Oreochromis niloticus: one gene and its partners. The main gene of each other region encodes a partner of the protein of the gene in region 3 in a complex. Links are inferred from orthologs where the notes say so. Each region holds a gene or a part of one and is shown on either strand. Other genes may lie near its edges. The genes, in order: lg12h9orf78, ttf2, akap17a and ppp1r8b.

Evidence for each region.
Region 1: akap17a (region 3) and lg12h9orf78 share a complex: the UniProt entries of both Homo sapiens proteins name them as parts of the spliceosome. The link is inferred for Oreochromis niloticus from reciprocal best matches to the Homo sapiens genes AKAP17A and C9orf78.
Region 2: akap17a (region 3) and ttf2 share a complex: the UniProt entries of both Homo sapiens proteins name them as parts of the spliceosome. The link is inferred for Oreochromis niloticus from reciprocal best matches to the Homo sapiens genes AKAP17A and TTF2.
Region 4: akap17a (region 3) and ppp1r8b share a complex: the UniProt entries of both Homo sapiens proteins name them as parts of the spliceosome. The link is inferred for Oreochromis niloticus from reciprocal best matches to the Homo sapiens genes AKAP17A and PPP1R8.

Annotation. Positions count from the first base shown.
Region 1 is NC_031977.2:13,550,466-13,558,358, reverse strand, and holds the start of lg12h9orf78 (splicing factor C9orf78 homolog), read left to right. Parts: upstream 1-4,875; 5' UTR 4,876-4,954; coding exon 4,955-5,031; intron 5,032-5,191; coding exon 5,192-5,251; intron 5,252-5,357; coding exon 5,358-5,409; intron 5,410-5,528; coding exon 5,529-5,599; intron 5,600-5,680; coding exon 5,681-5,758; intron 5,759-6,180; coding exon 6,181-6,378; intron 6,379-6,542; coding exon 6,543-6,679; intron 6,680-6,759; coding exon 6,760-6,864; intron 6,865-7,612; coding exon 7,613-7,710; 3' UTR 7,711-7,893. Other genes in the region: NFU1 iron-sulfur cluster scaffold homolog, mitochondrial, read right to left, coding at 117-291, 409-472, 583-700, 794-860, 1,909-2,044, 2,283-2,383, 4,726-4,784. UniProt on the Homo sapiens protein: Plays a role in pre-mRNA splicing by promoting usage of the upstream 3'-splice site at alternative NAGNAG splice sites; these are sites featuring alternative acceptor motifs separated by only a few nucleotides. May also modulate exon inclusion events.
Region 2 is NC_031987.2:27,398,337-27,406,236, forward strand, and holds the start of ttf2 (transcription termination factor 2), read left to right. Parts: upstream 1-4,882; 5' UTR 4,883-4,982; coding exon 4,983-5,010; intron 5,011-5,223; coding exon 5,224-5,329; intron 5,330-5,601; coding exon 5,602-5,700; intron 5,701-5,810; coding exon 5,811-5,880; intron 5,881-6,398; coding exon 6,399-7,268; intron 7,269-7,900. Other genes in the region: cpap (centromere protein J), read right to left, coding at 1-141, 446-1,189, 1,398-1,503, 1,599-1,743, 2,345-2,557, 2,676-2,802, 3,448-3,831. UniProt on the Homo sapiens protein: DsDNA-dependent ATPase which acts as a transcription termination factor by coupling ATP hydrolysis with removal of RNA polymerase II from the DNA template. May contribute to mitotic transcription repression. May also be involved in pre-mRNA splicing.
Region 3 is NC_031987.2:12,402,036-12,408,911, forward strand, and holds the start of akap17a (A-kinase anchor protein 17A), read left to right. Parts: upstream 1-3,874; 5' UTR 3,875-4,040; intron 4,041-4,805; 5' UTR 4,806-4,826; coding exon 4,827-5,153; intron 5,154-5,293; coding exon 5,294-5,332; intron 5,333-5,451; coding exon 5,452-5,670; intron 5,671-5,857; coding exon 5,858-6,070; intron 6,071-6,876. UniProt on the Homo sapiens protein: Splice factor regulating alternative splice site selection for certain mRNA precursors. Mediates regulation of pre-mRNA splicing in a PKA-dependent manner.
Region 4 is NC_031976.2:26,286,142-26,294,110, reverse strand, and holds the start of ppp1r8b (protein phosphatase 1, regulatory subunit 8b), read left to right. Parts: upstream 1-4,952; 5' UTR 4,953-5,044; coding exon 5,045-5,097; intron 5,098-5,103; exon of another isoform or gene 5,104-5,260; intron 5,261-5,582; coding exon 5,583-5,643; intron 5,644-5,746; exon of another isoform or gene 5,747-5,877; intron 5,878-5,945; coding exon 5,946-6,099; intron 6,100-7,969. Other genes in the region: protein THEMIS2, read right to left, coding at 580-694, 958-2,162, 2,688-3,113, 3,192-3,332, 3,676-3,778. UniProt on the Homo sapiens protein: Inhibitor subunit of the major nuclear protein phosphatase-1 (PP-1). It has RNA-binding activity but does not cleave RNA and may target PP-1 to RNA-associated substrates. May also be involved in pre-mRNA splicing.

The DNA of each region.
Region 1 (7,893 bases), on a different chromosome or scaffold from region 3:
TACATAAAAGCTCTTTACAGCTCAAGTGCTGAACATGAAATATAAATCAAGATGTCAGGATTAACATCTTAAAAATTAACAGTGTTCTAAAATCAAATGAGAGAAAGACAACAAACCTGTTCCACTGATTCAACCTCAGGTACATAAAATTGTAGCATGTTTTGGATGCCACTCTTCAAAGTCACAATTGAACTGGGGCAACTGGTGCAAGAGCCCTGCAGCTTGAGTTTAACAACGCCATCTTCAAATCCGCGGTATAGAACATCTCCCCCGTCCTCTTGCACAGTTGGCCTGACCGAGTGAGAACATTGACTGGTATTAGGCAAAAAAACAAAAAAAAACAAAAAAAAAACAAAGCACAGGAAGCAACAGGCCCTGAGATCATACTGCATCTTCATGAGTAGTTACCTTATTCGAGTATCTAGTAGTTCTTTAATCATAGCAACTACCTCGTCGTCATCATCTGATGGTGCTGAAAGGAGAAGCAGAGATTGTTGTTCCTCAGCATTCAAAGCAGCTTGTTATTTCTGTCCAAGTCGATGTTTTGATAATGGGCAGGCCACAGCTGTTTGAAAACCATACCTGTATCTGGGCTTGGCTGGCTGTCCTCGTTTACAACAGGAAGCCCGGAGGTAAAAAAGTCCATAATGGTAGCAAACACATCAGGCTTAATTACCTTCCATTCCAAATTTGGGTCGGCCTAAATGAAGAAGGACGAGAAACCAAGCTATTCTTAGTTGTGGTATGCCAAGCTGTGCCAGTACCAATTCTTACAAACTGGACATGGCTTTACCTTCGTTATGGTAATAAAGTCAGGGCCCAGGAACACACTCTTCACTCCATCGATCCTAAACAGCTGCCTGAAGACAATCACTGAGGTTTTATTATGCCACACTTAAAGATAAATTTTACACTTAATACAGGAGGTCGTGCAATGTTTGTAACAAATAAATACACACATATAGACATGCAAATTGTGTTCAGGTACCAGTCACATTTATTAACATAATATTTTAATGGGAATAGAATTAGAAAATAATATTTCTGTTCAAAATTGCTAGGTAGAGGTAAAAGCGTTACACTGAGGATCCGAATCAGCAGCGTGCTGGGCTGTGAGAAGAGAGGTCTACTGTTTCTGTGCATAACAGAGGTTACACCTTTTTTTTTAATATTTGGTAAGAGTAAATGCTGCCTTGGTTACTGCCCTACCAACAAGGCATGTACCGGTAAATCAATCTTGTCATGTGACTAGCAGAAGTCAAACTATTAATCCATTCTTCTTCTGGCTGCTCCTTTTAGTTTTTGCCACAGTGGATCATCTGCCTCCATTTCACTCCATCGTTCTCCACTGTCACACTAATGTCCTCCTACATGACATCTACCAACCTTCTCTGGAGGTCCACCTATTTTCCTCCTGCCTGGAAGCTGTATATTCAAAACCCATTGTCCAGCATATCCACCATCACTTCTCTGCACATGTCCAGACCATCTCAGCCTTGCCTGGCTCTCCAACTTTGTGTTTAAACTGCTCAACCTAAGCTGTCCCTCTGACATGCTCATTCTGATCCTGTCCATCCTGATCACTCTAAATAAAAATCTTAGCATCTTCAACTCTGTCATCTCTGGGTTTTTTTGTTTGTTTTTTTTTGTCAGGGTCACTGTCTCCAAATCATACATCATAGCAGGTCTCACTACTATCTTGTAAAATGTCTCCTTCACTCTTGCTGCTTTTCTTCTGTCACAAATCACCCACTCATCTCCATCCACTCCACCCAGTCAGTTATTCACCTGTCTTGTGCACTGTCCAGCGCACTGACTGCATGTATTTAAACTCATTTACCTACATCTGCTATGCTAAGATGACTGTTTCACATCAGGCATTTCTCTCAGACCAGTAATCTCACATACCTGGCTAGAGGTGAGCAGTGTGCCTCACGAGGGCCGGCAAAATTCATAGTTCCTGTTTCAAGAACTGTCCGGCCAGGCAGGAACTTCATGCTGTTTGGATTTGGTGTATCCTGGGTCTGCACAAACATGGTTCTTCCTGGGCAGAGAAAAAACAAAGAAGAAGAATGCAACATAAATCACCTGTTTTCATTACACGGTGTCCTTATTTTGTGCAGCAACTCTTTACTTTATTGAACTGCAAGGCTAATGTCACATGTCCTACAGGCACCTGCTCAAACAACAGCTGCATCTATTGGGTTCAAGACAATCACTCCAGTATAAACACATTCAATGTTACACATGTGATTATTATGGGAAGCAACAGGAATACAAACCAGGAACAATCCAGATGGGGTTTGAGGGCCATCTGTTCGAAACTCCTGTGGTATGTGAAGGCAAGTGTAATCCAGTGCTCTGAAACCCACTGACAGCAAGACTGAAAAATGCAGCAGATTAAGACATTTAATACAACGCAACTCACACTGATAAATGAATGGTGTTAGAAATCCAAATGTCAAGCACCCGTGTCAGCCCACTTCATCTAATGCCTTCCTCTCTGGAGTGGTAAAGTACTGACTTCAAAACATGAAGGTGTGGTGAGACTAATCCACTAAAATGATTTGGTGCACAGTGTTTGTACAACTAATAATTTGTAGCCGAGGTATTACAAACTGTTGCATAAGGCAACATGTAAAACAAACCAAAGGGGTCATGCAGAGCTTAAAGCGTTACACTGTGCAGTCAGTATTTGTCTTACTTTAGCCAAGAAGAAATCATTTCACTGACAACTAAACATGTTTTTTTTCTTTATAAGACATTTGATTTACAAAATAGAAAACACAGACAAACATAGTACAATTACAGGGAAAAATGGCACAGTATATGATATGCAAGGAAAGTGGACAATAGCAGAAATCTGCCCGTTACTTTTATTTGGTGTTTGATGTGCCAGAACCTGCTGTTCTGCTGGGATTTTCCTAAACAACCATATTTAATGTTTAAAGAGAATTGTCAGAAAGAGAGAAAATATCTGGTGAACAATGGTTCTCTGGGGTAAAGCACACTGTTAAGGTCAGAGGTCAAATGAGAATGAACCTGAGCTGATACAAAGTCAAACGCAAATAACAACTTATTACAACAGAAGAGCTTATCCAAATGCAAGACACATTGAAGCTTGAAACAGATGGGCTACAGCAGCAGAAGACCACACTGGGTGGCACTCCTGTCTGCTAAGAACAGGAAACAAGATACTATTTACACTACCTGGTCTCATGAATTTCAATTTCTTTTTTTAAACAATGTCTTTTTATTAAGAGTTTTTCTTTGTACATATAAACAAAAAGAAAAGGATTACAGTTGATCTGTACATTCGGGATGAATTTCAATTTCTGCTGCGATATTTGGATAGTACGGTCGGATTTGTCATGGCTCCATCCTGCCTTGTATCAATGGTTTAGCCTTCAGGTAGTGTAGCAATCGTGCAAATTTTTTTCTTAGTATACTTTGAGCCCCTTATTTCCATCTGAGGATAAATTGGGAATAAGTGGAATGACATGCTGCTGACCATGTCCATCCCTTTGTGACCACAGTTAGCCTGTTATAAAGGCTTGCTTCTTTAACCCTTTATTTACAAGTGCTCTTTAAATGACAGTAACTATTTCCATTTTTGCTAAAGACATAATTCAAATGGTTCCAGAAGAAAGAGAAAACGGGCTTAATGGGATACTTAATTTATCATGGTAGGACAGGAAATTCACAAGGTAAAAAACAAACAAACAAACAAACAAACAAACAAACAAACAAACAAACGGCCTAAATTTTACCATGTGAACTTCACATTGCCTTAACTCCTCAACCATTTTGGTCATGTCATGAAGAATTGAGGCAGTTCTTAAGGCAAAGGGGGTCAAACCCAGTACTAGAAAGACGTATGTAATGACATGTCTGAGTGTATAAGACCGTAGAAACACCAGCAGAAACAGAGTAATTGTGAGACATTGTCTCTTATGGACAGTTATTTTAGTTTTGCCTTTTGTAATTAATTGTTATTTATATTTCATTTTGATGTTTTAATTCAGTTTAGTTTGAGTTAGTTTACAAAGTGAGTTTCCTCGTTTCACTTCTTTTTTGAAAATGTTTAGTTTTAGTTTAACTTGTGTCTTAGTTTTAGATTGTTTTTTTTTAATCACTTATTGAATTAAGGGCATGTGTTGGAGGCAAGATTTAGTAAAACCAGCACAGTTATAAACTTCCTAGGTCTAAATAAATATATCTATCAAAACCTGATAAGGCAGCATTAACAATTAAAAACAAAACAAACAAAAAAAACAACAACAAAAAAAACAAAACAAGCTAAGCGATACTAAAACATGTAATACTTTTGTTTAACTATAATAACTTATGGATATGAACTGTCGACAGTAACGGTGTCGCTGTGTACACCTCAGGATAATTCAGAAAAAGCAGATTAGAATCGGGCTAAAGTTTTAGCACTTATGCAACAAAACCAAAAACATTTTTTAAAGTTTGAAAAGGTTTGTCGTGGTTGATACTGACCACTTTAAAGTGTTAATAAGCGGCTGGTGGAGACGCTTAACGCAGTAAAACATCCCCACACCTCCCTGCTCTGTAGCTGACTGTCTGCGTCACTCCGCCGTTTAGCCAGCGTGCTACCATTAGCCTGACCCTGATGCTTAACATGCTGACGCATTCATGCACACATGATATAAAGCAAAAACAGAAAACAATGCAGATAAAGATAAATACAAAACCACTTACGGACGAGAAAGTCTTCCTGAAATACCCAACAATCTGCCGACCTGCCTGTAAGTCGCCATGTTTGTTATGGTTATCTAAACAGGACGGAAGTGGCGCGGTAAATAAGGGGACGTGACGCACTATTATTGTACATTTGTTAAATCGTCCCCCCTCTTATCCCAGCAGTAGCTACACTCAAGTGCAGCTTCTAGAAAAGTCTGAAATAATTTTGTGTAGTATCTGAAAAAAAATGCCGTGTGGCAAAAATTTTAGAAGGAGAAAGGACTCGTCCGATGTGGAGGAGGATGAGACCACCGAAGAAGTCAGGTAGAGCCGTCTGTTTAACCACAGGAATAAAAAAAAAGCCGTTTAGAGTAATGCTATGCATGCTAATGCTAATCGCTAAACGCAGATAGTTTGTTGTCGCATTTTATATAAGCTGCCCAGGTAATGTGTTTGCAATCGTTTGTGTTTCATGGATGTTTAGGCATAAGTTAGAAGAGGCTAAAGAGCTACAAAGTCTGCGCAAACGACAGAGCGGAATCAGGTAACGTAAATAAATCAAACTACGAACACGTTTCATCCTGTTACTTTACATGAAGTTTTACACAGTCAGATACCGAATCACAGTTTTTTATATTTCTTTTATTTAGTGTGACCGCCTTGTTGGTTGGAGAAAAACTTCCACCAGAGGCTGAAATTGAGGTAGGTAGTCAGTTTTGTAAAATTTATATTTTTTTAAAATTGTAATATAGCTTCATTAACCAAGGTGTTTTGGTTTTTGAACTTACGTTTATTAAAATTATTTTGATTATTCCTCACAGAATGACCCATTTAAACTGAAGACTGGGGGAATTGTTGACATGAAGAAAGTGAAAGACAGGAATAGAGACATGTAAGTGAGTTTTTAACTATTTTTAGCATAATTGCTCTACGCTGTGCATTGATATGTCATCATTTCATGTTATGTATTCAGGACAGAAGATGAGACAGACCTCAACCTGGGGACGTCTTTTTCAGCCGAGACAAACAGAAGAGACGAGGATGCGGATATGTATGTGTGCTTTTTTTCTTTTTTGTTGTCCCATCCCCTTACTCATATTATGTATAAAGACACGCTTTCACCCTCTTCCACTTTGGTAACAAGAATGTAATGACTTAAGTAAAAGAAATGGGTTCAACCCAACATGTAAGTCTATCATAAAAGCAGACTTTTTTTTCCTGACACTGACATGTAAAAATCTAATGTAGCTGAAATTATTTTATTTTATTTTTTTTAAATTGACAGCATTTTGTGTTGGTCAAATAGTTCCAGTTATAAGGGGGATTTGATTCTGATTCTTTTCCCTCCACTTTAGTTAGATATAGCACAGATTACATAGAAGAGACATTTCAAATCCCCAGCATTTAGGACAGAATTCGAGATACCCTCACACTTGTTTACAACATGGTTTTATCATAAATTTATCCTCACAGGATGAAATATATTGAGACGGAACTAAAAAAGAAGAAGGGCCTGGTGGAGGCTGAGGAGCAGAAAGTTAAGGTGAAGAATCCAGAGGACCACCTGTATGAGCTGCCCGAGAACATCCGAGTCAATTCTGCCAAGAAGACAGAGGAGATGTTGTCTAATCAGATGCTGAGTGGCATCCCTGAAGTTGATCTTGGCATTGAGTATGTACTGAGAATATTCTAGTAATCATCTACACTTATTTTAGAATCAGCAAGAGGAGTCTTTTGACTAAAACTGCATTTTTGCATGAGATATGGCATGAACGAATACTGCTTTTTATTAATAGCTTTACTAATAAAACTTGTGTATGTAATTTCTTTTCTAGTGCAAAGATAAAGAACATCATCCAGACAGAGGATGCAAAAGCAAAACTTTTGGCAGAACAAAGAAACAAGAAAAAAGACCACGGCACATCATTTGTACCCACGAATATCGCTGTTAACTACGTCCAACACAATCGATGTAAGTAATCTGAAGAGAGCGAGATATTCCACACCTAAATTAAAGCAGATAATACTAAACAAACTGACTTTTTCTTTCAGTCTATCATGAGGATGCAAATGCACCGCAGAGACACCATAGACACAAAGAAGAACCCAAAGCAAGACCGCTGCGTGTGGGCGACACAGAGAAACCAGGTCCAGAGGGTAAGAGACTCTACAGATACGCTCACTGCTCAGTACATAGTAATAGTTTACAGCTGGATAAACAAAAGAAAATGGGTGGGTGGAATTACCTCGGCGAGCGGGCAGTATGGACACTCGGCTTTGTGAACATGATAACTTGAGAATGAAGCAATGTTGGATTTTCAAATTGATACCATAGGTGCATCTACTATAACTCTTGGATGAGTTCAAATATTGGTGACCCTGACTTTGAGATCAAAGTCAGAGGTCAAGTTTTCTGAAAATTATCTTAGGAATTTGGAGATTTTATCATCTCCAGTACATAATGACAATAATTTCACAGAATCAAGAGAAATCTCTGCACACGAAGGGAGAAGGCTGTGACCTTCAGACCCTCATGACACAATAAATTAAAAACAGGCATGAATCTGTAGTGGAAATGACTGCATGGACTAAAACACTTCAAAAACATTGCCAACTCAAAATTTAATAAAGTCTAAGTTGAAGTGGAAAACTGTCCTGTGGGCCAGACCTGTCAGAATGTGAAACTGTTGTTTTAAGTCACTGACACTTGTGCATTTCCAAAAATAATATTTCTCAGTTTCAGGATTTTCTTCGTTTTATCCAAGCTAGATAGAAACTGTATTGCAGTCACTGCAGTTAATTTACTTTCAATGGCTTCCCCATTTACTTGTGTGTCTGTGTGGGGATTTATTCAAAATCTTTTGAAACCTTTAATCTGATTTCGAACTTATTTGTTCATCCACAGCTCCGTCACCACCAAACTACCGCAAACGTCCAAACAATGAGAAGGCTACAGATGACTACCACTATGAGAAGTTCAAGAAGATGAATCGGCGATATTGATGAGATGGATATATATAAACATTTTAAACTCAAGATTCATTTGAGGACCCCAAACGGCTTTTAATGGCATAGCTCTAACATCAGGGCAACACTGTGTAATTATTGTATATAGCTCCTGCTGTTTGTCTGTATACAATACAGTTGTTAATGTCTCAGATGATTTCTTTTGCTCAAGATTGTCTT
Region 2 (7,900 bases), about 15 Mb from region 3:
TGCTAAGCCACCTGTGTTTCCAACACTATTGCACCTCTGAAATACACCTTTAGGAGGTGATTTAATGGGAGTTGAAGAGAGGCGTCGCTGGTGGAGCCCCTTCACAGTCTGCAGCTGTCGTTGTTGATCCATCTGAAGAACCTGCAAGGAATGAGCAGAGTAATAGTTTTCTGGAGAGAGGGGTTATGTCTACATAACACAAGACTAACAGTAAAGTCCTGGAGAAAGGCAACCCAATCTGGTAATTTCTTTAGAAATGCAATAGCAGATTTTGACCACTTGAGGGCAGCAGAAATACTGAATCCCAACAACACAAACAAGGAAACAGATACTACCAACACAAAAAACTGTGTGACAAAAAAAATTGTAACAGTAGGCATCCAAACATTCCAGCATTTGAAGTGTTGAATTAAAGCGTGATGAGTTGGTGAGTGAAATAGAGCACCTTCATGACAAAGGAGGAGTTAGATGAGAAGGACAGCTCTTCAGCCGCTTGCTCCAGCAGCTCAAACTCTCCCAGCTCCATGCTCTCCAGCTGTCGGTCGCACTCCCATCGCTGGAGCTTCTTCTGAAAAGACAACTCGAAGGAATCCTGTATAACTGGGTCTCCTCCTTTAGAAACCCCTCCTGCTTCTGCTAATTCCCCTTTTGAACCACAGCTTTTTTCATTTTCAGCCGCCCCTGCCTGTCCTAACTTCCCGCCCTGTTTGGTTGTAGGACACGGCTGAACATTGAGACAAGGGGCTTTCACGGCCTGAACTGACAGAACTTTCCCCAGCTGATGTTTGGCTGGTCTGCCACCTGGATCAGTTTGGACAGTCTCTGGTCCTGCTGTGTTCTGTCTCTGATGACTACCTAAAACCTTTGTCCGTGCTACTTTAGTCACTGCTCTCATATCGTGGGGTGGTGAACTGAGTCCCTTCAACCGGTTCTCCTTGTTGAGTGTAGCAGTTTTACGCTGGACAGGAAGCCGTGGGGCACTGTTTGCGGCTCCTTTCTGAATATATGTGGGCTCCGAGTTGCTGCGAGAGATTACTCTGGCTTGAGGCGGTGGTGGTCTGGAGTCCTTCTTTACATCTGTTTTTTGGAACATAGCTTTCCGATTATTTGTAAATCTCGAAAGGCCCTCTCCTCGCTTCAAGAAGGCTCTCTTAGGAGGGGCTTGCGCAGCGTTGGCTCCATCTCGACTCTGTTGAAGGAATAGGACAAGATTTGAATTCAATGTAAATTGGAATTTTTTTAGTTTTTCCAGTTAAATAAAGTATTTTATTGCAAAATACAGACAGGCTCCATTTGTGCAGACATTACATTCCTATATCAGGTTGTCACCTGCAGAATGCAAACTCAAATGAATGGTTCATTATTGATACTTTTCAGCACTCGACACATCCTCTGACCTGTTGTTGCTGGGCAGACTTTAGCCTCTGCTCCTCCAGCTTCAGCTGCTCCTCAAGCAGCTCCTCAAATGTCTGCTTTTGACCCCCAATACCTGGCCTTATAGGTCTGGAGAGGAGGCAAACAAAACCATACTCAAACACTGATCTGTCGAGACAGTCTGATGTTAGAACTACATAAATACAAGACTATGTATTATTTACCTGTCGTGAAAGACTTTGTCTTCTGTTCTGCTGTCGTCTTCAGTCCTTGCCACAGCATTATGTTCCATTAACGTGTCATCTTCCTCAGAAAAATGGCTCGCATTGACACTGTGCTCCTCCTCATCTTCTCTGGAGTCCAGTGAGCCTACAGAAACAAAGCGGTTAACCACTGAAAACATGTGAACCGTGTGATGAAAGACAGGGCAAATCCACACTGGCTGTTCTATAGAAAACACAAATACCAAGAAACTGTGGAAATGTCTTACTCTAAACCAGGGATGTCAAACTTGTTTTACATCGTAGGAGACATACAGCCCACTTTGATCTTAAGTAAACTGGAAGAGTGAAACTATATGACAGATATGTCAAATTATAGAAAATGTTTTGGAAATGTATAGCCCAGACTGTCCTGTAGTAATAAAATATCATGTCAAATTTATTCTTTACTGTGGACTACCTGCAAAAAAAAACAAAATGCATTTCTATGGTAGATAGTGTCATTCAATTGTTTATCTATTAGTTACCAACTTTTGTGTAGTATGAATGGACATGGAAGGGGTCTTTATAAATAGGAAGAGCTGTAAAACCTATGAAAATACAGTGAAATGATTCAAATCTAATGTACTCCTTCACATTTCACACATGTGAAGCTGTGCAGTGGGCCGGTTTGGAGTCTTTGGTGGGTCGATTCTGGCCCCTGGGCCTTACATTTGAAACTTACATTTAAAATATTAAATATATCTTACCCCCTTCCTCATCATCACCCTCCTCAGGTGCTTGACCTTTGGGTAGCTGCTCGTGTCTGACAACTAGTGAAAGTTGCTGTTCTGGTTGACGGCCAATCATAGAGCCCCGTGGGACTCCATGGTGGTTTGTATCAGGACTGTAAGAGCACTGTGTGTAACATGACCTGTGGAGCGTGTCCTCAACCCACTCTGGTCCGGACATTTCTGAACTCTCTGTAAGATGGGTTATCATCACTTCAGTTTATGAAACAGGACACATACTTGCACACCACATTCACCCTGAACTCAAAATGATCACTTCGCAGTTGTTCGTGTAATTTCACTCTCTGACCTCCTGTGCAGTGCTGGGATCCATTCAGCGTTCCCAGTAGCTTCTGCTGCTCTTCCTGGAGATGAAGCAGCTCCTCCAGCTGATGAGCTTTTAGCTGCTCCTGCATGTGCTGCTGCCATTTCTTTAACTGCACACACATATTGCATTAAATTCTAATTCGATATGTAGTTTAGCTTAGCTCCCACTATGTTTTTCAGATGGTTTAAGATACATTTAACCTAGATGTTTCTGAGTACCACTAGTTTCAGCTCAGTGTCAATCCACATGCGCTGCACATACTGCCATTTGACATATAGTCTAAGTGTTTAATTGCATCTGTGTCCCAGCCAACATAATTGCCTTAGGGAAAAACTCTATTAATAGCAGAGAAACGTAAAGGAGTGTGTGTGATGGAGGTGCATTAAGTATACAGGAAGCAGTGATGTAATCAACAATGAAGTCCACGCAGGGCCCAAAATTTGCATATATTAGGAAATCTGTGGCATTATAGTGTCCAAATGTTCTTACATTATTAATAAATAAATTATAGGTTCATTTTTTCTGCTTTGTCTCACCCCTGTATCTATAAACCAGTAAAACTAAAGATCCTCCCAGTATCTGTGTCATGTATGTTAGGTATTGAAAGTCCATCTCCTCAGATGCACAGCAGGGCTAGTCACATATGCCAAACATATGTTCTTGGTTTCACTAAGAATTTATTTTCTACTTTTAACAACTTGATTGTCTCAAGTTACAGGAGACAACTGCTTCTGAAAAGCACTGATGTCCATACCTGTTCAAGCTTCATCATAAGGGGCAGATCCTGTGATTTGCTTGCCATCTCGTCCAAAGTGTCCAGCTGTCCATCTGCAATTCTCGTCGGGACAGAGTTTAGACCGTTCACCGGCCTGTCAGACTCAGTCATCTCTCCTCCTGCTGCCCGTCTAAATGCATCCACACCGAGGCAGCTGCTGTCTGTAGAAGCGGGCAACGGGGCAAAGTCGGAAGCGAAGGAATCGTCTGGCAACATGGGCGACGATCCCACGGCAGAGGTGTGCCGCAAGGGTCCAGCCAAATCCGGAGAGGGACTGAGGATCACTCCGGCTCTGGTGCTACTTGGCATCCATCGGGCCAACAAGTCTGCCTGGGAGTACTGAAGGCCAGCTGGAGATGACATGATGGCTGCGATGTCGCAGGCAGGATAGTCTAATCCGGGATCTAAGAGAAAGATTATGGTGACAGGTTAAGGGTTAATCACGCCACGAATAAACACCGTCCAACACCCTATAGCTGACGCCCAGGTCCAATAAAGCTATACATAGGGACGTTATATATAGAAAAGACATTGCCTTTTTAATACGAGATTGGTTTCCGTCCTGGTTGCTACACAGAAGTCAGTTCCAGATATTTGGTTACGAACAATAATCTTAACAATGTCTATTAAAAAAAAAACATAGGAGAGAATGGTGGCATTTATGACATGTGGCTCACGTGGAATGTGGAAGTGCTCTTTTCATTTTCCTCAAATGTCGCTTTATTTAAAAGGCTTGGCTTCCTCGTCGACACTCTCCCGTTATTGGCAGGCTGCGTTTTATTTATTTCATAAAAACTTTTCCCGGATGTTACACTGTAGTGACGACACTACAACATTAACAAGCATCGCAAAACACATCGACATTACCTGTAACTCAGGAGAAAAGCAGGTTTACTGTGATGAAATCGGGCGTTATACAAAGGCAACAAACAAAAAATTCGAAGCCTGCCGCCATATCAAAACAAAGCCCGCGAGACCAAAAAACCCAACGATGAAGTTGTTGTTGCATTGTGGGTAACGTAGTCTTACATCACGCTGGTCCTAACTGTTTTTTAAATGTCTTTTTATTTCATAGAAATTATAAATAATGATTTTTATATACAAAACATACGTTTTTTAAACAGAAAAGTCACTTCTGCATACATGTATTAAAAAAAAAAATTTCTACGGAACAGGTTTACGGAAGTTCTCGGAACTAGCTTATATTATATCCGGTTAAAAGTTAAATATATTTCACAATAACAGTCATCAAGCAAATGCAATTTGGCGTTTGTTGAGTTTATTTTTTTAATATTGTTATGTATTTAATATTTATCGGTATTTAATGTTAATACATCATTATATATTATGTCTTTGTCCATCATAATACAATTTTGCTAAATAACTCGGACCTTGACTTTTATACTGACGTTTGCAGAGCGGATGTGTTATCCGAGAGCTGCGATTGGTCTATACAAAATACAGCCCTTCCCTTCACGTTCTAGTAACTGAACTGAACTAAATGTGTTGATAAAATGGAAAAGGTTGTATGTAGTATACACGGTAAGTGGTAATCGGTCAGTGGTGATTAATTATGTGTTATAAAATGGTAAACTGGATATTGTGTTTGATTTAAAGAGGTTATATTTGTGTTTTTATCCTGAGGACAAAAAAGGTTTGCTGCCCACATAGTTTAATAATTAGTTTAACCTTCGGTTTAAATATTCCGCACTTCGAGTTTTTACGTGTTTCTAAAGAGAGACCTTTTTGTCACAGGCGGCGTGTGTATGTTAAAAACCGGATTAAAAGACGGACCCAATAAAGGCAAGAGCTTCTACGTCTGCGTTGACAAGCAAGGCTGTGATTTTAGTCAGCAAACCAGGTATTCCCCCGATGACAATAGGCCTCTGTATTTTCAGACCTGAACCATTCATTGACACTGTGTTTGAACCAAATAATAGTCTCTTAACTATTCACTGGCCATATCCTTACATTGCTTTTGTTCCATTCATCTCAGTAGCCAACTTTACTATACTCACTGGCCCTCTCCAAACATCTGAGGTTATTCACTGACATATTGTTAAAGTTATTGATAAACAAATGTGTGTGTTGCACAAATATTTGTTTTATTGATGTGAATTATCATATCTCTAGCATTTCACCATCACACTGCCTCCATCATGAAGATTCAATGGTGGAACTCCAGGCTCTCAGCTACAGTCAGCCACAGCAGGGCTATAGGTGTGTGTGTATGTATGTATTAGAAAGAAATCTGAAATTGCATGCTTATACGCAGCTTATATGACTAGATACCAGGTTGGTTAGACTCTGTATTTAACTGCAAATTCCTTCTCGTTTTCCAGGTTGTTCTACCGATGTGCAGTAGGTAAAAAAGCAGGCCAGAGGTGGTGTGGAAATGTACCCTGGACTGCAGTAAGTGCTGTCACAGATTTCCCAACACACACTTGTTTTTTTATATACATTCAGTATCTGTATCACCAACGGTTTCTGGCCATCGCATTGAGACAGTTATTAAAGATAGTTTTTAGTTATTAAAAATGCGGTTAAAGTTTTAAGTTAGTGTTCTCACTACTCCACTAATAATTAAGCTTGTATGAATTAGTCAATTCATTGGTCAGTCACTCAAAACAAAAGTAATCCTTACCTCTTTTGTATTTGTTGTTTTTTGTTGTTTTTTTCTTTAATGCTGTGTAACTGTAAATGTTTTACGGTTTTCCTGGCGTATGCATTGATTAATACATTTATTATGTAAACAATCATAAGTTGCAGCCTTAAATAGGATGTAGCTAAATGGTATGAACAAGTATTTTTCCTATTCTGAACTATTTACTTTTTTTAAACACCACATGAGGGATTAGCTGTTATTAGACACTTTTCTGTAAATTTCTATGACATATTTTTTTAAAGTGTGTTGTCTTCCATGATTGCAGCCGGAAACAGAAAAGAGAAGCCCTCTGTCTGACACACAGCTACAGCCCTCATGTCTTCCACCTGTACGAAACCCCTTTAAGGCACCAAGCCAGGCAGACAAGGACTCTGAGTGGAGAAAGTTGCAGAACAATAGACATGAAGAGAAAGAAGCAAGTCACAAGGCTGAAGGAAGAGCAAGTTATCAGAAAGAAAATGAAAGGCAACAAGGTGCAGGAGTGGAAGAAAAGGCAGATGATAAGCACAGGTCGTCGGATACTTACCGGGGTAAACAACTTCCACTGGGGATGAAGTTAAAAAAGAGAGTTTCAAATGAGGAGAACAACAGTCCCAAAGAAAACAGTGTTGAAAAAAGAACCGAGAAGATTCAAGACACGCCCGAGCAGAACCGCATCAAGCAAGGAGAAGAAGAAAAAGGCATTTCTTCCTCCAGCGTCAAGACTGTTCATTCTGAGTCATCAAACAAACATCAACTCAAAACAATCAATCAAACTGCACCAGTTTCTCACAGGAACTTGACTCAGCAACCATCTGATGCCGAAACCTCTCAGGTGAAAGAAACCAAACAAATACTAGAAAAGAGCAGCTGCACCCATGCATCCAGAGACTCTGACAGCAGCAGGAGCCCCATACCTGACAAACCAACTCAGTCAGAGTCCAGTCAGCCCAACAGTCCCGAAAACAACGACGATGATGATGATGTGGTACTGGTGTCTGTGAAGCCTGCTCCGCAGAAGACTCCTCCTGTTTCTACTGTCCAAAAGACGCTGACCAACTTCCCAGGATTCCAGCCAGCTTCTAACATCAAAAAGCCGGTGGAAAACCCCAAAGGGCTGCAGAACCTGCTCACCGTTCAGCTCCAGCAGAAAAAGGTGAGGGGAAGAGGAGACAACACATGTCATGCATGAGCACTGCATTGATTTAAAACCTAACATACAAATATTATTATAATATTTAAAAAAATATATTATATGCATGTCAAACATGTCCGCATTAAGAAATCTGTTAATTAACCGCCCCGATATACTCATATCAGTCACTCTTAGGCTGCGTTTCCCAAAACACCGAAGAATATTTGTAGTACTTGTAATTATATCATAGTAAATAATCTGCAAGCTCTCAGAATGTACTTTTCTCTTTAAATGTTAAAGTTGACACTGTTAGCTACACTAGCTGACAAAGTAGGCTGAGGTAGCTGTTAAGTACAGTTTAGTTTACAAGTCCAGCAATGTGATTTATCATTGGGCTGATATCTAATTGGCTGGTATTAGCTAACTGCTAACAGCCCATAAATAAAAGTGGGGGGAAAAAAAGACCAGATGGAAGAAACGCCTTTCAACCTTGTTATAAGTTGATCAGGACAGAGCATAAAGTAAACAAGATAATCAATGACCAGGCACAACTAATGTTAGGAAAATCTGTTGAGTTTTTGGAAAAGAATACAATTAAATGGCCAACTGTCAGTATCAGCATTAAAAATCCTGCATCAGTCGGGTTGTATCTT
Region 3 (6,876 bases):
AATACTCATGTTAATGTCACCAGAATAGATTAAAAATACAATTGAAGCGAGTCGCTTCATCCGCTGTTCCTGCTGACACCAGCTGATTGTCCTTGCCTGTTGATGCTGAATAATTGATGATCTGACGACCCCAGCTTTGCTCTGGCATTTACAGTATATCCACAACTTCCTGCCCACATAGCCCACCAGACAGATTAACATCCAGTTCTTATTTTGCACCTCTTGTTATACAGACTGACCAAAAGTCAACATTGCTGCTGTTGGGATATAAACTCTATTTAATCCATTTTTGCAAATACTTTAAAATCAGATTTTATGTTGTTTATCTTAATATACTTAAAAGAACCTAAGAGGACAAGCAGTTTTGTGTTTCCCTGTTATGTTATTTTTGCCATTGGTTAGAGAAAGTAAACAGAGTATAGGGTACAGAGAAATTTAATGCCCACAAGCTTTCATATGTGTGTGGGGGTTACGATACATTTCTCAGTGCCTGAGCCTGAACAGATTACTACAGATCTGGCAATCCTCTTGTTGCTCTGATGTCCTTCTGGCACCCTGTCTGTTCTCTGCTTCGTGTTTCCCAGATCAAACCAACCATATAAAAGCTGGATTACATGTAAACAGTCACAATGTATCACACAATATGCTTCTTATATAAAACTGAATGCTGTCAAGTCAGCTCCTTTGATGATTCTGTAATCTCTGGGGTTTCCCTGATCTAGAAGTCAAATAAGGATTTATAGTGGTCAGAAGTGATGTGCTTTTTTTTTGGCTATGTAGAATCCAGATTTGCCTTAGGCAGGCTGTCTATTAAATAACTGCTGATCGGGACAGGATAGAGAGCCTTTTTGACTGCAGTAACTGACCTACATGCACAGTGAAGGGAGTAATGCCTATTATGCAAATTCCTCTGCCATCCTTTCAGGGAAACTGTGCCAACTTTTTAGCCTGGGGCCTCCACTGTTGGACCAATCCAAGTCCGGTCCATTTTTATCTCACACAGTTACCACAGTGATGATGGCTTTCAGACAAACCCTAATGAGTCACAAACAGTGCCAAATAGACATCAAGTGAGTAACAAATTTGTACTGTCATCAGAGTGTTGTTTGTCTTGTGGCAGATATAAAAAAGTACAGTGAATCCAGCCTGAACCCTTTTTTGATACTGATCAACATTTTTTTGCATAAACTATATCAGTGATTTACTAATAAATAATGAAATTGAGGGCGATTACAATTATTGCCAAAGTTTCTATCATGTATTAATTATGTGTGTTCTGAAATATATAGCAGGGTGTGTGTTCTTTCTCTTTTTAAATACTGCTAATATATATGTATCTATAAAACTTGGTTATTTACACCAAAAGTCTTAAGTAATTTGTAAGCCCGGTAAAAACCATAAGTGAAGACCTCACAGATGCATCTGACCCGTCTACTGTTCCCTGAAGCCTCATCAGAAAAGGTCTCAGTGGAAGGAAGCTGAGTACTCAAAGAGAAACCATGCATACTCTGTGAGAACTGCAAACTCCACACAGAAAGGCTCCAGACTGGATTCAAACCCTTCTTGCTGTGAGCCGACAGTGCTAATCATCAGACCGCCATGCACCCCATGAACATATAAGGAGGAGAGGTACTGATGGTAGATAAGTTTAAATACCTGGTGTCAGCCATCTAAAGCAACAGACAGTTCTGGGTATCTGTTGTGGGTGGTGTGACTATCAGGGGGATTTGTAATAAAAGGATCGAAGCAAGAATGAAAGGCAAGATTTAACAAGATGGCACTGAGACCTGTTATGATGCATAGTTTGGAGATGGTGACAAAAAGATAGGAGGCCAAGGCGAAAGTGCCAGAGCTGAAGAAGTTAAGATTTTTGTTGAGAAGATGGAGAGGATTAGAAATGAGCATGTCAGAGGGAGCGCTCAGGTTGAGCACAAAGTTAGAGAGGCAAGGCTGACTTAGACATGTGCAGAGGAGGGAGAGTGGACATATTGGACAAAAGATGTTGAACATGGAGCTCCCAGGCAGGAGGGCCTCATTAAGAAAAAAATATTGCTGATCATTTTGAGAATAAAGTCAAAAATTTTATTTTGAGAAAAAAGTTGAAATACTAGTTTGAGACAAAAGCCAAAGGGTGGAGATTATGGTTGCTGTTTGAAGACAAACTCCCAGGTTTGCTATACCTTCTACGAAAAGCCTTGAGTAGAAGTACCAATTCACTAACTCAGGGGGTGTAGGAACTATAGCTGTTTGTCTTGAAATTGTAATCTCCACATTTTGATTTTTTTCTCAAAATTCTATTTTACTTTGATCTCGAAATTTTGACTTTATTCTCAAAATGACCGACACCATATTTTTTTCTTAACATGGCCCTAATACTCCTTCATACAGGAAGAGAAGAGGAAGACCAGACAGAAGATTCTTGGATGTAATTAAAGGGTTGTTGTAGCAGAAGAACATGCTAGGCCAATTGACTTTGATATAATGAATGGTGTTTTGAAATTAAATAATCCTCACTCCGCTTGGTTTCTTATACCAAGTAAGGTCTTTAACAAACTGGGGTATCGATTTTCTCCTAAAATGTGACTTTGAAATTACTAAGCTACCTGTTAAACTCTCTGAATTCCATAAACAGCTCCTTCTTTATTGGAAAATTATATTTAAACATAATTTCACTCTACATAACTGCCAAATTTGGAACAATAGATATATACTGATGAATAGAAAATCTATTTTTATTCAAGATTGGTTATCGAAAGGTGTTTGGGCAATTGCTCATTTTGTAGATGAGGAAGGACAGGACATCACGATTTTGGCCAAAAATTTAATATCCAGTGTTCTAAAAGTAATTTTAATCGGGTTATAAAATCCATTCCATTGTCACTTAAAAACATAGTCGTAAGTGATATAATATATTCTGACATCTCCCTCAAGTTAAGGCAATTATATATAGATGGTATTCAGTTTTGTAATGTTAAATACAATAATAAGTTCCTGAGATCTTCATTAAAGAGTCTTTATTCTCCAAATTTACTTAGACGTAATTACATATTAAAAGATTTCCAAGAGGAAGAAATTGAAAGAATAAGAACTAATTATATCACCTTCCCTATCCCTCCTAAAGGGAAAGAAGTCCAATTCAAAATTTTAAATAAAATGTACCCAACAAATAGGTTCCTTGGTGATAGTTTTAAGATAGAAACTGTTAATTGTGTATTTTGTGAAACAGAAGAGTAGGATTTGGACCATCTATTTTTTTTTGTGCAGTTTTATACAAATCTTTTGGTTGGATTTTCATGCCTGGCTTCAATCGAGTGGGATTCAAATTACCCCATTTACCTTAAATGTGATATTGTTTGGAGTGTTTCTGAAGGAAAGTCAGTTATGGTGTTAATGTTTTATTAATCTTGTGCAAGCAATATATACATAAATGTCGACCAAACCAACCCTACTTCACTGGAAAAACGATCTAAACCTGTTGGTTAAATCTTTGACTTTAGTTAAAAAGAAAAAGGCTGCATCTTTTGGTTCCCTTTTGGAAGATTTTGATTTAGTGAGTTAATACTCTGTTAACTTTTATGACCCCGTCTTTATATCTTCTTTTTCTTTGTACAAAGGTTGAAATTTGTATTTTCTGATTGTATAATATATGGTGCATTTTGTTGTATGTTGATTTTGCTAATTAAAAAAAAAAGAAAAAAAAAGAACATGCTAGGAAATGTGTGCAATGGCGACAAATGATCCGCTGTCCCGGCGACCAGGCAGCCCAAGAAGAAAATTGCTATGAATATTGATATTAAACTGAATTCAACTTAAGAGATCTTTTTCCATTTTTCTCACCGCCATATTCATCCATGTGGTGTCGCTGTGGGCGCTGGTATAGGTTTCTTTAGAAGGTCGGAGTTCATTGCGTGCGGAAGTAGCATGTAGTTGGATTCTCGATTTTCTGTATGCCTCTCAAGTGTATGGCTCACCTTAAATTACAACAGTGTGTTTGTTGTGTTTTGCATTTTCGGTTTTTACGGGGGGGCTAAGTGATTTTGGTAGGTTGTGGCTAGTCTGTTATCTTCTGTGCTAGCTGACGTTAGCATGTTGTTGTCTAAAGCGGTGACGTTTTAGGACCCAACTCGTAAAAACCGTAACGTTAACAAATAATCAGTAAACAAATAATAATACGCAGTTTGCAGTTTAATAGCGTTAAATTAATCACGTTAACCAGATCGCTGTTTACTCAATTTCATAGCTTTCTAGCCTGTCGTCCTTCGGGATGAAGCGAAGACTTTAGCGTTAGCTTTCAGCTAATGTTACATTGAGTTTGCTAACGTTTGTGTAACCAGTGAACACCGTTCCCCAGAAATATGTAGCGTAGTCCTGACACCGTTCATTATTATTCCTACAAACTGTTGTCGTTGTGTCACCCTATATGCTCTCTGTTAACTGAACGTTAATGCACAGGAGCTGGTTAGCTGGGTAGCAGTATGAAGTTGTGATGGCGCAAGGGGCTTTATGCTTTAACATGGCATTTGTTGTGTAATTTTCGAGGACTTGTCACACTACTGTATAACAAGCCAAATGCGAAGGCTAATTATAATGGGTTTTATAATGTTGAGAATGGTTTTTAATCGTTTGGCATGAGGCCTGTGTTTGAGCCGATGTTTGCTGCAGTTTGATTATTGGTTTTGGAGGACTACTCGTAGCACATGCGCAGTTTAGTTTATTACTTTGAGTTTGCTCCTTATTCATGTTTTATCTGTGTTTTAAGAGAGTTTAATAACTACTAAATCTTTATTTTCTTCCCCCTGCTGCAGCTTCGGTGTCTCTCTGCAGCAATGACCACCATTGTACATGATACCACAGAGGCAGTGTGCCTCTCTGCTGAGTACAACCTGTACCTGAAGCCTATTGCCAAAATGACCATCAGCGTGGCTTTGCCCCAGCTCAAGCTGCCAGGCAAAAGCATCTCCAACTGGGAGGTAATGGAGCGGGTGAAGGCCATGGTGGCCCCGGAGCAGTTTTCAGTCTTGCGAATCTCCAAGAGCACAATGGATTTCATCCGCTTTGAAGGTGAAGTGGAAAACAAGACTGTAGTCAAGAGCCTGCTAAGTCGTTTGGATGGGAAGAGCATCAAACTCAGTGGCTTTACTGATGTACTGAAGGTAAGGGTGAACAAATTTAGAGCATTGCAGTACTTATAATTAGTAATTGCATGGTTATTGGAGTCACTGGAGTTTGTTGTTGCTACTTAAATGTACTTAAACTGTTTGTAACTCTTTGTCAATACATTGTAATTTGGCAGTTCAAAGAAATTACCTTGAAAATAAACAACTATCCAAAGGCAAGGCAGCTAGTTCTAAGTATTATATTATTATCTACCAAAGATTGATTACAGGTTGAATTAAATTGCACTAATAAACCGACAGCAGAGTATATTTATTTCACCCTCTCATCCTTTAGGTTCGTGCAGTAGAAAATAAAGTGGACTTCCCGACACGTCACGACTGGGATTCTTTTTTCCGTGATGCCAAGGACATGAATGAGACACTACCAGGTGAGAGGCCTGACACCATCCACCTAGAAGGGCTTCCTTGCCGCTGGTTCAGTCAGAAGGACAGCCAGTACCCAGATCGGCCCTCAGAAGAAGTCCTCATTGCAGTTTTCCAGACATTCGGCAAGGTGATTCACATTCATGTTTCTGTGTAGCTAAAAGGAAATTAAGCTTTTAATATTCACATTTTTAGTTCACAATTTAAAAAAAAAAAAAAAATAGACATAAGCAGTGCCTAACTAAACAAGAAACTAATAAATGTCGATATAAAAAGTTAAAACATTAGTATTTTTTTGTTTTTGTTTTTTTTTTAAGGTACGAAATGTTGACATTCCCATGCTGGACCCATATAGGGAGGAAATGATGGGCAAGAACTTCAGCACATTCAGCTTTGGGGGCCATCTGAACTTTGAAGGGTATGTCCAGTATCAGGAATACTGTGGCTTCACAAAAGCCATGGACACTCTGCGCAGCATGAAGCTGATGCTGAAAGGAGATGATGGAAAAGCCGTGGCTTGCAACATCAAGGTACTGCAGACTACAGTAGTGTCAAGCCTCTGCCTACACATATTAAAGCTGATTTTATTTTCTACCTCTTAATTGATTGACCAATCATTCCAGGACTTTTTTTTAATCCATCAACTAAAAATGTTGTTTTCTTAATTATGTTCAGTCACTGCTGGGAGAGAAATTTCTTCGTACAAACTTTAAATGCCAGGGTTTTGAGAAAAATGGAGTTTAACTCATTATTAAGGTGTTCTAATGCAGTGCCCTTTCAAATATGGTTGTATTAAGCAGGACAAGTATAGAGAACCATGCAGCCTTGAGAGGTTTGTTTGATAAACATGCTGATAAATTAATGATTCTATGCAATATAAACAACCTCCTTTTCCCATCAGGCTACCAGTGAGTGTAGCTTTTTTTTTCTTCTTAAGTGAAAATATTAAATGCACTGTGACAATAGCTTAAAACTTGTAGAGCAGAAAAGATGTTGTATTTGTAGCTGTGTCACTGGAATATTTGTCCATTATTCATTTATTTAAAATCTGTGTTGACACAGTAATCTGCCATGGATGTAATATTTTTAGTTTTCAAATGAAGAGCTGGAAGGACTATTCCTGACTAAGCATGGTTATAAAATGTTGTAATCATAGTAAACCACTCTGAAATGTGTGAAGCACTCGAATAAGCCCTTAAACTCACCAACGGGTTTATCAGTCTGGTATTCTTGGATTATATTTTGTTTTGCTTTATCCACTATCCCCCCCAAAGTTGGTCTAAATTACTGAATTAATAAAAATTTACATACTTTTGTTTTGGGTTTTTTTGTGTGT
Region 4 (7,969 bases), on a different chromosome or scaffold from region 3:
ATGTTACAGTTGATGGTGGACTATCTATTGACACGAGCTCTTGAGAACAAACCATTCTTTATCAGATGTTTGCAAAGGCAGACTGCATGGCTAGATGCTTGGTTTTATACAGCTGCTGAAATGGGACTAAAACCCTCTGAATTCAAAGATGCCCAGTACTTTTGTGTATATAGTGCAGGTGAAGCTGATTTTTAACCCTTCTTCATATTCATTTACTTTAAGTTTAGTTCTGTGCGTTAGGGCAGAACAAATTGTTACTCTATGTGCTTTTAGTGGTCTTGATGACTCTGTGGCTAGTGAAAAGTCACACTTACATTTGTTTTAGAGATGCAGAGGGAAGCCAAAGTATTCTGTCAGTATTCTCAACTTTTTTTGGTCTTTATATAAACCATATATAAACTCTTTCCCATGGTGAAAATTTCTCAAATTTAGAGGTTGTCCTGCAAACACTGTTTTAATATAAATATAGAGAATGCTTATTAGTCCATGGCTGCAATAAATCTCCAGCAGCTGCACTATAAGTTTTGTAAGAGACAAATCAGTGGCTCTCTTAAAACATTATATTAAACAGAGCCCCACCTGTTTTAGTAGACTCCTTCATTTGTACATAAGTGTTTGGCAGAGCCTTGCCTATGGTTTGGTCAGCTGCTGAGAACTTTCGGGGCACAAGTGGTGGGGGCTCATCTTCATTAGCCTGCACAAAAGAGGAAATTTTCTGTTTTATTACATGCATGGCTTCTTTACCACAGAAAAAAAAGTGGAAGCACCAATTTGTTATTTTTGCTTAGTTCATTTCCTGAAAGTCACATTATGAGCATCTGTTTATTAGTTTCCCTGTAGTGGGGTTTCAAGAGAAACCTGACATGACAAGAAAATCTTAACAACCTCAGCTGAGCCGTAACCTTTATAATAATAACTTTCAAAAATGTTATACATGCATTGAAAAGTTACACTCACGGGAGGTGGTGGAGCGGGGGGCCTCTTTTTGTTATTCAAAGTCAAGTCGCTGAACTGTTTGGTTGGGACGCTTTTGTCTGCTTGATGTTTGGATTTGTTTGCCTTCTTTGATTTCTTTGTTTTTTTGGGAGGTGCCGAAAATGACATGTTTCGCTTTGGTGGTCGAGGTGGCGGCTCCGCATCTGAGTTACCAAGTTTGCGAAATTCATAAAAGAATGTGTCTGCAACTTCGGTAACTCTTTCCACTTGAAACTTGGGGGGTTGATCTTTGGGCCATGGGAGGGGGTCTGTAGTAAAATAGACAGACATTGAGAGCCACTGAGTTGGGATCTCGAAACAGTACTCTGGCTTGTGTACAAAGCTTGCCTGAATGGTGGGTTCCAACATAGCTGCCTCTATTCTGAGACATGAAAACCCATAGAGGGGATCCTTCTCGAGTTCTGTATCACGGCCCACCACTTTAACATCCAGAGGCAAGCTAAACTGCTTCCCCAAGTCACAAAGTTTGTACTTTTTGTTGTCACTGAGTACTTCCACAAAGTGACCCTCCATGTAAAGAGGCATAATAATCTCCTCCTTTTCATCCTCCCTTTTCACCTGATCCTCATCATCATCATCATCATCCTCATCGTCCGACTCTTGAAGGCGATAGCACAAGAGAGCCTCTACCGACTGGTTCTGTCCTGATTTGCCTTCACAGGGTAACACCATCCTATCGCAACGCACAACCTCAAGCTGTTCCCCCACACTGAGGGCAGGGAGGCCCTCCTCTTCCACTTCCTCACAGTTCCTTGTTACGCTGACCTTCAGACCTGGCGCGTGGATTGAAGCAACATACAGCTCGTATACTGAATTAAACTCTCTTGGCCGTCTCCGGAAGCGTCCACCATATTGCTGAGACACCAGGAAGTACTGAGGTGTTTTCCTGCTCTTCAAAGTGGATAATAAAATCATGGGTGAGGTTCCTTTTTTGTGAAAAATCAGGTGCCCATTCTTGCGGAGCTCTGGTAGCCAGCTGCACTTGAACAGGGAGCGCGTCTCTGGGTCTTCGATGATCTCCACCACTCCAGGGAATGATTTATTCGGCTCAGAGTGGACTTCACTCAGAGAAAGGGGTACAATAAAATTCACATCTTTACACAGCTCGGTGACATCGACCACATCCACTTCTAAGCTGGATGGGAACTTCACCACATTCTTCCTCACTGTAGAAGAAAGAGAGGAAGGCAGTGAAGCATATTAGGTATATTTAAATTTGGTATGAGTGCAGTACAGTTGAACTGTGCTTTTTTTTGTTCTGAATTTAAATTCTCGAGGTTACAAATATAAGCAAAATGCACGTACATTTCCACAAGCATATATACTTATAAGTACTGTGTTTAACTGTGATACAGTGCATCATATAGATTAATTGCTTTTAATGATATGCTGATGTTTTTCAAGGTGGCATTAACTTTAACTGTTTTATAGCATAGTATGTACTATATGTCATACTATCATTGGCTTCAAGTGTATAATTTTAATATGCACAAATATTGCTTATATAATGCATAAATAGAGGAACAATAAAATGTCATGGGCGAAGAATTTAAATTAAGGTGGAAGTTAAAGTGGAAGTTCCCAAACTTTGCATTAACAAAGCGCACTGTAGGGTTCACACACAAATAACAAATCCTGATCAACATTATGTTAAATAGTAGTTAAATAGTTAAAAAGCAGGCTGTTCTTACAGTTCATGACAGCCTGGACATGGTATACTGGACTGAGGATAAGAGGCCGATCACACTTGGTAGCATTGACAAAGCGAAACCTTCGGCTACGCAGGGACGACGAGGACATGATCTCCCGCAGGGTAAAGCGCTCCTCACTCTCACACTCATAGAACTCCCCTCGGAAAGAAACAGGGATGCACACTTCAGCTGAGGCTTCTTGTTGTCCTCGAATAAGGCAGCGGACTTGATCCTCTTGATCCTTGTGTTTCTCAACAGAGAGCACCGTCAAAGCTGTCCCAGCCCCCAGTGCTAAATTGCCAATGGTCATCTTGGAGTGGCTGGAGAAAGTGAAGGGAAGAGAGGAGTCGAGGCCTACTGGCCTCAGGCTGACCATCTCCTCTACCGTACTGTATGGCATCTCCTCTGGAACGACCTTGAACAAGCCTGAGAAGAAAAAAAAAAAGTCATTGTAGTTCTACAAAATAGATTTAACCATTCTTACAAGAATTTCTCTAGACCAACCTGTGTGGCTGATAGGCAGCTCAAATGTTTCATTGTTTGCTACGTCTTGACAGGAAACTGATAGGAGCTCAATTTTAGTGACCTTTATTAGATCCCCAGTGGAAAAGCACACTTCACTCCCAGAAATTTCATATATAGAACCTGGAACAGAAAATAAGAAATTGAAGGAACAAAAATGATTAAGATTTCTTAACCAGCACATGAACGCATAGACTCTAATGGGAATTATTTCCAGTTGCGAGCCGTGAGCAACACAACAAATGCTCACTGTTCTTTTTATATACAACAACTTCTAATTTAGGGTTAAAAATGTACAAAATGTAAAAGGAATGTACACTAGATTGTAACTTTAAATTTATGCAAGACAGACACAACACAGAGAAGCACACAGCAATGAAGTAATCTATAATCTCGTCAGTTTCGTCCTTCTGTACACGCCATCTCACTGACGAAAACTAATAATAATAATTAAAAAAAAAACTACCTTGGAAATATACTCCAGAGCAAACTTGCAAAATTTTTGGCAGACAGTTATCGTCCAATGACGCGATGAATTCCTGAAGTGGCAAAGCAGTGGTGCCTGCCATCACTGCTGCCTCTGTGTGTGTGCAACCAAAAATGAAGGCAGGCAGCAAATGACAAGCGCAGCACAAAACGGGGGTGCTTTCTCAGTTAAAAACCACAAAAGTGAATGAGGAAGTTACAGGATCTCTTTGCACAACTTGTGCATTCACATACGGGGACAAAGCAATCTGGCAAAGCCTCATTGCTGTGAAGGTGGTAAATAAGTATCCAAAATGATGTTTTATTTAATTTTTTGGGATTACAGCATAAAGCCTGCTACGAAAAACAAAATGAAACATTCACACCCTAACTTTGAGCTTTTTATACATCTTAATTTTTTGGGTCTGTGTGGGTGTGTGTGTGTAAGAGTGAAAGAGAGAGAGGGAGAGAGGGGGAGAGGACGAAAGACTTTAAAAGGAGCAAATCGCAATTGCAGTTTTGCAGTGTGAACATGTTATATTTCTTTTTTCTTGTTTGATAGTCAAGCTGCTCTACTTAACGCTGTGGCCAAAATCAGTGTGAACACATTGCGCAAGGCTTCAATAAATACATGCACTATGATAACCTCTAAAAATGCAAAAGAAAAAACTCTCAGAGCACAGATGCGAGAACACACTGATAGCTTTTTTTTTTTTCACTAATATTTCAGGCTCTTTGTGATATTCGTTTTAGCCATGTGTCATCTTTCTCTCTCAGCACTTCCTGCTCTTAGTGCTTTTCTAAGCCTATGACACTTCTATCTGCAGCAAGGAGAGGCTAGATATCCTCCCACCTTGACATATCAAGGAAGGCAGGCAGCGGTTTTTAGCGTTTGACTCAACTCAGAGTTTCCAAGAACCACAAAAAGCTCTGAAGATCAGTGCTTGACACAGAGTCCGCCCACACCAGCTATTAGTACCGTTGCCCCAAATAGATACCCCCGAGGGACCCGCATTCCTATCTTCATTCAAACCACTGATCACGGAAAGGCAATATCCTTTATCTTTATCTGATTTGACTTTTTAACAGTGTTGACTTAGAAATTTGGGGAATAGGGACCCCTGCTGGTTCTTGTGGTAACACAAAGTCGGTGTTAGCTTAATCCCCCCCCACCTTATTGGTTTGAACATTCTTAGAAAATTCATGTATTATTCTTTATTACCACTTATTTTAAGTTAAAGTCGGAATAAATGAGAAAACGTCGTATGATATTCTATTTAATGTTTGGCAGTATTACAGGACTACATTTCCCAGTAATCCGAAGTGACGTTTACCCAGCATGCAGCTCTGCTTTGAGAAGCTGAGGCAAGATGGCGACTAAAATAAGCAAAGACAGTCCCCCTCCTTTTGATTGTCCATCATGGTGAGAAAATGCACGTGCTAAAGTTGTAGCCGTTAGCTTGTTATGTGATATCAGGTGCAAATGAGCAGATTAGCATTCACTTAATTATCAATGTAACTTTCTACATAGGAGAATAGCTGCTTTTCACAGTAGCTAATGTTAGCATCTAAGCAGGCTAACGCTGGTGTGTATCTACAAATGGCGTTGGCTTTTTTTCTTATTAAGACCCGTCGTTTATGTGCAGCTTTAATTCTGATCATGAAAAGAGGAAATAAATCACATGTATACGCAGGATATAATTTAATAAGTTTGTCTGTATGTAAAAGTATCAGTCTTGAGCACGTTTCTATGAGTGCAGAGGTCGAGTGACTCGTTTTTTTTGAACAAATCCTTAACTGTAGCAAGGGGAGACAATGGAGTATAGCCATGTTTTTATAATAATGATCCACTGTCCACGTATAACATTAACTTGGACAGCTTTAATGTTTAAAACTGTTTTCTCTTAGGGCAGGCAAACCGCCCCCTGGGCTCCACCTGGACGTGATGAAGGGAGACAAACTGATAGAGGTAACTGGAAGTTTGGAGATGTTACACTGGACTAACAATTTATAGTATTGCATACTTGTGAACTGCATGCAATGGTTAATAATGTTGGTAGTAGGTTACTTGAATGCACCAGATACGAGCCTGACAGTCTGCTTTGGCTGCATGGCTTCAAACGGTGCGACAGTAGCATCAGCCCTGAGTTTTAAGCTTTTCAGTGGAAGCAACACTGTGGAGTTATGGCTCAGAGGCACAGAAACGTTATTCAAGCTTCTTCTCTGGCTTGTTTTCAAGGCCAAGTCACTGACTCTTGTCTCTCCTTCTAGAAACTGATCATAGATGAAAAGAAGTACTACCTATTTGGGAGGAACCCCGACTGGTGTGACTTCACCATTGACCATCAGTCGTGCTCTCGTGTTCACGCTGCACTAGTCTACCACAAACACCTGAAAAGGGTCTTCCTCATAGACCTCAACAGCAGTAAGACACGATCTTCAGTCATACTTGTATACTCTACATCACTTTCTGAAAAAGCTAAGGGCTAAAAAGGAATAAAATTAATCTATTATGTGCAGCCATTAGTGCTCATTATCGCTCAAATAATTTGTTGAACAATAGACTGCTGGATAGACAAAAATAATCCACAACAATATTCTAATTGTTTTGATAATCAGTTAATTTTTAAAGCAATAATGCTAGGCATCAGGGTCAGATTGTAATTGGAAAACCTTATTGTTTATCTTCATCTGCACGTATCTGATAGTCCATGTGTATATAGCACTGATATATAGTGATTCAGAGTTGATGTTCAACCAAGTTATCATTTTTAAAAAAGTAATTTCTGATTTCATGGAAAACTTAAAAATAATAATGTACAGATTACATACTCAGTGATGTTGAATGCTGCACGTGCCTCGATGCGTGTAACCCAGAGGTTGCAGGTCATAAAGGAGAGAAATGAATTCTGGAGTAAGTTGGATGAAGGTTGGTAGAGAGTGTTCAAAGGAGGGAGAGGCTGGCGAATGGACCAGGCTTCAGTGGACATGTAGGTGAAAGGAACAGAGGTGATGAGGATGTTTGAGGTATGGTGTTAAGGAGAGGAATGTGGAAGGACAGTTTGTAGTAACAAAAGAATAGACATGGGTGGTGTAGGCGAACTATATCCTTTGCAGAAGGTGCAAAACAGACAGGAAACTGCAAGGTGGTGGTGAGGTGGTAGCTAAGCAGCACAGGATGGTAGTTTGTAGGATGACTTTGGAAATCTAGAAGAAGAGCAGAGTGATGGCAGAGCCAAAGATTCCATGGTGGAAGTTTATGGAGGAAGAATGCTGGTGTGGAATTTAGGGAGGAGTTGAGGAGACAGGCTCTGGGTCTTAGGATAAATTTACCAGATGACTGGGAAAATACAGCTGAAGTGCTGTGTTTGGTGCATCGTCTGGACAGAGCAAAGAGGACAAGGAGACTTTGTCATGGAATAAGACAGTACAAGAAAGTATTCAAATATTCAGTAGTCAGGGAGATGAAGGAAGTAGACAGGATTACTGGTAGGCTAGGAATACAGCACACTGAGGAGCGAGTGAGATGTAGGTAAGGCTGGAGCCTAAGGATGGAGCAGATGACATATTGATTGGCTAGGCAGCGAAAGGGAAAGAGTGGGTGGTGGCTGCTAAATGGTAAATGGCCTGTATTTGTATAGCGCTTTACTAGTCCCTAAGGACCCCCAAAACGCTTTACACATTCAGTCATCCACCCATTCACACACACATTCACACACTGGTGATGGCAAGCTACATTGTAGCCACAGCCACCCTGGGACGCACTGACAGAGGCGAGGCTGCCGGACACTGGCGCCACCGGGCCCTCTGACCACCACCAGGAGGCAGCGTGTGAAGTGTCTTGCCCAAGGACACAACGACTGAGACTGTTGGAGCCGGGGTTAGGGTTAGGATTCAAGCATTCAAAAGAAGTAGTTGTCTTGTGTAGTAGCAGTTATGAATTCTCTCTTTCTCGTTTGCTGCAAAAAATAAATAGAAACAAGATATGCCAAACTGGCAACTGAGTTTTTGCAAGAAAGTGGCACGCATTGGACCTTTTTAAAAATATTAGCAAAAACATATTAATGAAAATGATGTAATAGAGAATGGACTAAAAAGGACTAAAAATCACATTTATAAGAATAACTGGATATAAAGAAGAATTGCAGTTTGATCACACCAGTCATGCGCTTAAACGTGATAATGCAACGGTCATTGTTATATTAGTATTTAATATTACCGGGTTAGACAAGTCAGAAAAGTTACCAAATATTGACAAATTGTATTGTTTGATTCAAAGTCTTGATTTACTCTTT